Linked DNA regions of Oryctolagus cuniculus. The protein of the gene in region 2 purifies or fractionates together with the protein of the main gene of each other region. This does not show direct contact. Links are inferred from orthologs where the notes say so. Each region holds a gene or a part of one and is shown on either strand. Other genes may lie near its edges.

Region 1 (3,943 bases), on a different chromosome or scaffold from region 2:
GGCATCACATATCTGAGCACCAGTTGAGTCCCATCTGCTCTACTTCCAATCCAGCTCCACCTGGGAAAGCAGGGGGAAACGCCCCAGTATTTGGGTGCCTCCCACCCATGTTGGCGACCTGGATAGAGTTCCAAGCTCCTGGCTTCACCCTGGCCCAGCCCTAGCCAATGCAGCTAATTGGGGAATGAAACAGCAAAAAGATCTCTTTCTGTTTCTCCATCTCTCTGCCACTCTGCCTCCCAAATAAATAAAATGAAATTTAAAAAAAAAAAAAAAAAGTTCCATTTGAGATGCCCACATTCCATGTCAAGACTGCCTGGGTTCAAGTCCCAGCTCTGCCTCTGATTCCAGCTTCCTGCTGATGCAGCAGCAATAGCTCAAGTTGTTGGGTCTCTGTCACCCCTATGAGAGACCCAGATTCTGTGGTGCGCATTTGGGGAATGAACTAATGAATGGAAAATCTTTCTATTGCACTACCTTCATTTTTTTATTTAGATGATGTGGTTTAATTTTAGTATCTTGAGTTTTCCTGGATCTTTCATTATTGTGATTTGTTAATTTCTGGTTTTTTTTTTTTAAGTTTTTATCAGGTTCAATGTAATTCACAGATACAGTTTGGAGATTAAAATGATATGTCCTTTCTCCCACCCTACCTTTCAAATAAATGAAAATACATTTTTTTAAAAAAGCAGCAGCAAGCAACAATGATGGCAGCAGTCTTTAAAAACATGTCTGTGAATACAAACATTTCACTTCAAAGGGGGAAGAATTATGAATGTTGTCTAAGGTCTCCTTAGAAGCAACAAGCAGAAGCCAGTAAGAAAACAAATTACTCCATCCTGAACTAGACAAGCTTCTTGGTCCAGTGGTAACACTCCGTGACTAGAAGCTACTGATCTTCACAGGACTTGAGACCAACCTCTTCATTTTACCACTGAGAAAGCTGATTCTGAGACAAGCGACCTGTCAGAGATAAGGATTAGGTCAGAGGAAGCAAAGGAACACCCTGGATTCCTGGTTCTAGATCTCCGCTGTAACAGCAAGGCTGCCTTTCCCTCAGCACAGGACACACAGCGAAGTCACAGAATTGAGTCCCTCCAGCTGGAAGATTCTAGTCAATGTATTTTCTAATTTCAGACAAAAAGTCTAAATTGTCCAGGGTAATGAAATTTTCTCTTCTGTCTCTACAGGCTGTACCTTGTTGAAACAATGCTCTGCCAGCCCATCACTCAGAATTCTTCAACGCACTGCTGGTCCAGGTGCTGTCACATCAATTCCCATTTCCCATCCAATTTCTTCCTTGAAATCTAACACCACTGGTCATTTTTTAAGTATATTTTCATGTAGATTTTTAAATAAAAAAGTCAACATGTCATGCACATTTGAAGGGTTCTATTCGTCTAAACACACACCAGCACTATTCTGCACCCCGCTTTGACTTTTAAACACTATTTTTCAAGTAATTTTGTTTAAAAGAACCTGAACAGAAAGAAGAGAAACCCCCAATACATCCTCCCAATCCCCTGCCCAGCCTTCCTTAACATCCTGCAGTTGGGATGGCTAACACTGGTCTGTTATTAACTCGGGTTAACAGCTTAGAGGAGCCAGTCTTCATGTTGCAATTTCATGGGTTTTGGCAGACATACAGTCACACATGTACCATGACAGTCACAGTAATTTCACCAACATGAAAATTCCCTGTGTTCCTAACAATTACCAGTCTTTTCAATATCTCTGTAGTTCTACCTTTTTAAAGTGCGGGAAACCTGAACCAAAAACTTATCATTTTTTAAAGCACAACTTCATCCGTTAAGTATAAGCAACCATCACCAAGATCCATTTCCAGAACTCTTTAATCATCGCAATCAATCCTGTTCCCTGCTTCCCACAGCCTGGTCTCCTGAGTGGAAGAAATCGTCCGTGTTTGTCCCTTTGTGTCTTATTTCACTTAACATGTTTAAAGGTTCATCCATCCCACAGCCAAGTATCAGCGGCTCACTGCTTCTGGGGATGATACGTAACCACCTCAGCTTGCTCTGCTGGTACCCGGGGTCGGCATCCGAGCGGCGGCCTCCCACCCTGCGGGTCGGCCCGGGGCTCCACCGGCAACGGGCCCAGTTCCGACTTCACTTCCTCAACCACACTCCAGTGCCTTTTGTGTTCAGCCACCCTAACAGGTGTGAGGTGCGCCCTCGCGGGGGGTTAGCTGCAGCTTCCCAACGGCTAACCCGCCCTCCGGGTGTCGTCTCCGGGCAAATACCCATCCGGACGCGGCGCTGCCCAGTGCAGTCCTGTGTCCCGGGTACAGACCCTACACCCGAGTTAGGATTTGCAAACGTCCGCTCCCGGGCTGTGGCCTGCCTAGCGGGCTTGCGGGCACAACGAGCGGCAGGAGCCCCGCACGCGCGAGAAGACAGCCACCTCGGGGGCCGAAACCGAGCCCGTCTCCGCTTTACACAAAACGCCCCAGGCCCGCCCGCCCCCTGCACAATGGCGACCCACGCCCGCCTCCGGGGAGGGGTCCTTCCCGCTGCCCGGGACGCCAGCGGCCGGCGGACCTTGCCTTCGGACCGGCCGGCCCCGCGCTCGGAGTCCGCGGCGCGGACCCCGCCCCCGCCCGCCCGCGCCCGCCCCCGCCCCTCACCGGTCCCGGCCGCGGCGGCGTCCAGGTGGGCGAGGCCGGCGGGGAGGCCCGGCTCGGGCGCCAGCGACTCCGCGGGGCCTGCGGGCGCGGCCTCCGAATGGCGACGGGACGCAGGGGCCGGCGCCGGGGGCGCGGGCGTGCGCGCGCTCGGCCGGGAGGCGAGTGGGGCGCCGCGCAGGCCAATTGGATCGCCGATCGCCAAGCGCGGCCGTGCGCACTGCGCGAGCGCGAGCAGCGGCGCGGCGCGGCTCCCGGAAGTGCCGCGCGCAGCGCCCGCCCCGGAAGTGCCGCCGCGCCCGGCGCGCGGGAGCTGGCCGAGTGGGCGGGGGCTCGGAGCGGGCCGTGCCTCGGTGCTGCTTCGCGTTCTCTCGCGTTTCTCGTGCTGTCGTGTGAGTGGAGTTAGGGAAGAAAGGCAGGCCCAGCGCCCGCGATGACGTCCGGGACAGCTGTCGGAGACGAACATTCTCCTCAGGCTCCCGGACCTCCGTCCCGCGAGCGGGGAGGGTGCGTGCACCTGGTTCCGAGCTCACTCTAGGTTGACTGACCAGATGTCTTCCATTCGTTTCCTTTAGAAGTTATTATGCTTGTTTATTTGACAGAGGGCTCGCAGGGCTGGTTCGCTCCCGCAAATGCCCACAACGCTCGGGACCTAGGCCCAGAAACTGGGCGCCCTGATCTCGGTGGGTCCCCCACGTGGAACCAGCCAGCCCCGTGGGACTGCAGCCCTGGCACCCTGATAGGGTGTCAACCTCTGCACCAGATGTCTACCCTGAGATGCTGTTTACTGTGGCAAAATACGCATAAAATCTATCATCTTAACAATTTTAGGTGTATAGTCCAATGGCATTAAGTGCATTCGCAGTGAGCAACAATCACCATCCGACCCTTTCGTCTTGTAACGGTGGAACCCCATACCCACCGCACAGTACCTCCCTTCCTCCCGCCTTGCCCCTTAAGATGGCTGTTCTACTTTCCATCTCTGAATCTGACTATTCCTATCAATGAAATGTTACCTTTTTATCGCTAACTTTAGCATGATGTCTGCAGGTTTACCTGTGTTGTAGCATACTGCAGAGATTCTGTTTTTAAGGCTTTTAATAAACATTCCATAGTATGGGTATACCATCTTTTGCTTATCCATTCATCTGTCATTTGATTTGCTTCCACATTTTAGCCATTGTGAATGCTTTTATGAACGTGAGTGTACAAATATGTCTTTGAGATTCTTTCAATTCTTTTAGATATTTACACAGGAGTGGGGTTACTGGATCCATGGTAACTCTTTTTAATTGTTTTGAG
Region 2 (3,311 bases):
GCAGATGGAAGATCTCTGCCTCTGTAACTGCCTTTCAAATAAATAGATCTGAAAAAAGGAACTAGAGCTGATAGTGAAGCCTTAGTATCTTACTCCCTCCAGTGTTTGACTTTTGCATCACTTAGTGACAGGATACTTTCTGAGAAATGTGTTGTTAGGCGATTTTGTCTTTGTTGACCATCATAGTGTACGTACACAAACCTAGATGGTTTGACCCACTACACACCTACACTACTATACGGTATATACCATCATTCACACAGCCTGTTGCTGACTGAACTAGACAGATAGCGCTACAGCTCAGTGTTAACCTAGGAAGAGTCTTGGCTTTTGGTAATGGTAGCAACATCCTCGTATTTTAGCAAGGGGACAAGAAAGTTCGATAAGAGGTGCTTAGGACCCAAGACAAGTATCAGTCTACACAACTTGGTTAGAATTTTCTCCAAAAGCTCCTGATTTCCTAGCCAGTATGTTTAAAGTTGTTTATCTCCTGTATATGCATGACTTTTAATTGACCTTGGCCATGTAAATTTCTGTTGAATAAATTGAAATGTCAGAAGCAAGTGAAATCTGAAATAGAACCACCCTGGGATGAAAAGTTGAGCCATTGAGCCTGCTGTGTGTGGACAAGCAGAGTGGTCGCAAGGGGTTTTTGTTTGTTTTTGTTTAGGTCAGTCAGCTAGCAGAGGTAAGGCAAGGCTGAACTAAGTTGAGACTACATGCTGACAGTTAAACTTTTATGCTTTTTGTTCAGCCTGTGTTAAAATATTCAGCAGGACTAGGTCTGCATTTTTGATCTTATGGGTATGGTGGTTTGTGTTAGTACCAAAGCCCATTTGCCCCGGGTGGATTTTTAAATCCTGGTTGACTTTGATCAAGCCTACTATTTGCTTGCTGTTTGCATAGCCCAGGAGTTAGGGCAACATTGAAACCTGGCTGTGGGACATTAGCCCATTGTTTGAGTTACTGCCTTAGCCTGTAGCTGAGGACTGGAAGGTCTGAGTCAATTGTATTAACCTGAACTTGTATTTAAAATGAGGCAAAAGTGCCAGCTTGTGTTCTTTTCTACACCTCTCCCCAGGTGAACTTAGTTTTTTTTCCTTTGTTTGAAATAGCAACTGGAATCATGTACAAAGTGTTGTTCAGCCCGTCTCTATTCTGCAGTCTGGGAGCCAGCTCTAAGGCCTCAGAAGGAAAAGGAGGCTTCTATCCAGCTGACGTTGGAAACGGTTCCAGCAGGGCCCCATACTATCACTGCTCAGGGACAGTTAGAGCACTAGTTTGTTTCTCAGGTGATTGAGGCAGACCTGAACTCCAAGCAGCTTTGGACAGAACAAGGACTAGAAATGGTAGAAGTTGCACACATGTCCCCAGGATCCACGCATGCTCGTTCTCTGCTACAAAGTTCAGAACCAGAGGCGAGCAGGAGGACTGACTGCTGGGAGAAGCAAGCAGACATGCAAAGGGTTACTCTTGCTACCCTGACAAAACAAGTCAAAGCTTGATGGGTCCCCTTTAGTTACCAAGCTTGTTAAGTGAAAAAAAAACAAAACAAAACAAAACAAAAAAAAACAAAAAACCAAGGTTTAGCCATCCATGAAGATGAAGCCTGTGGATTTTGCTAGAGTTCCACAGTTGACAAGGAAATTGACTTCTGAGAGGCAGACATAATCCTGTACCTATGTTTATCCATGGATAGCATCAACCTACAGACTTCTTGGTATTCCCCCCGCCCCCCACTTCAGTAGGTCTGAGCTGCTTTCCATCAGAGCCCAAGGGTGAGGGTAGGAGACTTTAGGGAGGTGGGTATTATTTTTTTCTACAAGGCACTTGGTTAAACTACTTGTCCAAGAATCCTGAAGAGCAGCAAGGTCTGGTTTTGTAAAACAGGATGAATGAGGCCTGCCCCCTCAAAGAAGCAGGGCTCTATGGAAAGTAGCCTCCCATTTATGCATTTGAGTAGGTCCTGCTTTGCTTCCCCCAGCAAAGCTGAGGGAGTTAGCCATGGCGGCTAGGTCCTGACATTAAGTGATGTCTAGATCACTATTTACCCCTTAGCTTCATTGGGGAGATCCATACAGGGCAGAGGGTTAAACAGTGGGTCTACAGGGCTGGTGCTGTGGTATAGCAGGTAAAGCCACCGCCTGCCATGCTGGCATCCCATATGGGCACCAGTTCGAGTCTTGGCTCTTCCACTTCCTATCCAGTTCTCTGCTATGGCCTGGGAAAGCAGTAGATGATGACCCAAGTGCTTGGGCCCCTGCACCCAAGTGGGAGAGCTGGAGTAAGCTCCTGGCTCCAGATCGATCCAACTCTGGCCATTGTGGCCATGTAAGGGAGTGAACTAGCAGATGGCAACCTCACTCTCTGCTTGTGTAACTCTTTCAAATAAATCCACCAATCTTGGGGGGGTGGGGTGGAGTGGGCCTGCATCATCCCACATACATGCGTGGAAGTCAGTTTAAATGAAGCCCAGGTCTTCAGAAGCAAAGCAGGCTTGCCTATACCCAGCCAAGCAGGTCACCAGAGTGCTTGGCCCTTAGTTAACTCTAAGGTCTGCTCCTCTCTGCCCCCCTGCAGGACCTCACTCCCTGGATGCATGCATAGTGGCGGCAGCCCCTCCACAGGCCTTCCTGGAGTTCTCGCATCTTCTTGCTGCCAGGAAAAGCCTACAGGGCTGCAACACCCACTCTACCTGCCAGCAGCAAAAGGAGGTCAGCCCCGCAGCAGTGCTGACCAACCTGGCCCGAGGCCCTGACTAATCAGTGCGATCCCGGACAAAACACCTCTAAGGGGCCAATACACTCAGCTCCAAGCAGGGAGAACACCGCAAGGGAAAATGAAGGAACTGTGTTCAAACCTAAATTTCCTGAAGTTACAAAACAAGCCTAATTGTGTACCAAACAAAAACAACAGCAGCCTATTCTACACATCTATGAACAGAAAACTATTGCCTGAATTTTACTTGGTTACCCTTTAGGGTGGTTTCCTTTTTTTTTTTTTTTTTCCCTTTAAGAATCCTACTTTCTTCTGGTCTACGTCAGCCAACTCCAAAGTAAGAGAAAGCTATTTGACAACTGACCCTTCTAACCGAGTGGGAAAACCCTGTAAATTAAAGCATATGAGTAAGAAGTGAGTGTTTTCTTAGAGTTCCTCTCCATCTCTTAGGACAATCCTACGAGCATTAAAGGACCGAGATGCTGAGACGAACCAGATTACACAGGTAGCTGCAAGTTCATGATCACAGCCTGTACCTCTAGACTCTGCAGCTATGCCCAGGAGACTGCCAGGGGAGCACTGGCCACACACTC

The links.
Region 1: the proteins of CBX1 (region 2) and CHAMP1 purify together in Homo sapiens (affinity purification with mass spectrometry; 6 studies listed by BioGRID and IntAct, with this or other methods). This does not show direct contact. The link is inferred for Oryctolagus cuniculus from reciprocal best matches to the Homo sapiens genes CBX1 and CHAMP1.

The regions. Positions count from the first base shown.
Region 1 is NC_091440.1:34,357-38,299, forward strand, and holds the start of CHAMP1 (chromosome alignment-maintaining phosphoprotein 1), read right to left. Parts: upstream 2,801-3,943; 5' UTR 2,645-2,800; intron 2,474-2,644; exon of another isoform or gene 1,198-2,473; intron 1-1,197. UniProt on the Homo sapiens protein: Required for proper alignment of chromosomes at metaphase and their accurate segregation during mitosis. Involved in the maintenance of spindle microtubules attachment to the kinetochore during sister chromatid biorientation.
Region 2 is NC_091448.1:24,353,206-24,356,516, reverse strand, and holds the end of CBX1 (chromobox protein homolog 1), read left to right. Parts: intron 1-2,580; coding exon 2,581-2,758; 3' UTR 2,759-2,811; downstream 2,812-3,311. UniProt on the Homo sapiens protein: Component of heterochromatin. Recognizes and binds histone H3 tails methylated at 'Lys-9', leading to epigenetic repression. Interaction with lamin B receptor (LBR) can contribute to the association of the heterochromatin with the inner nuclear membrane.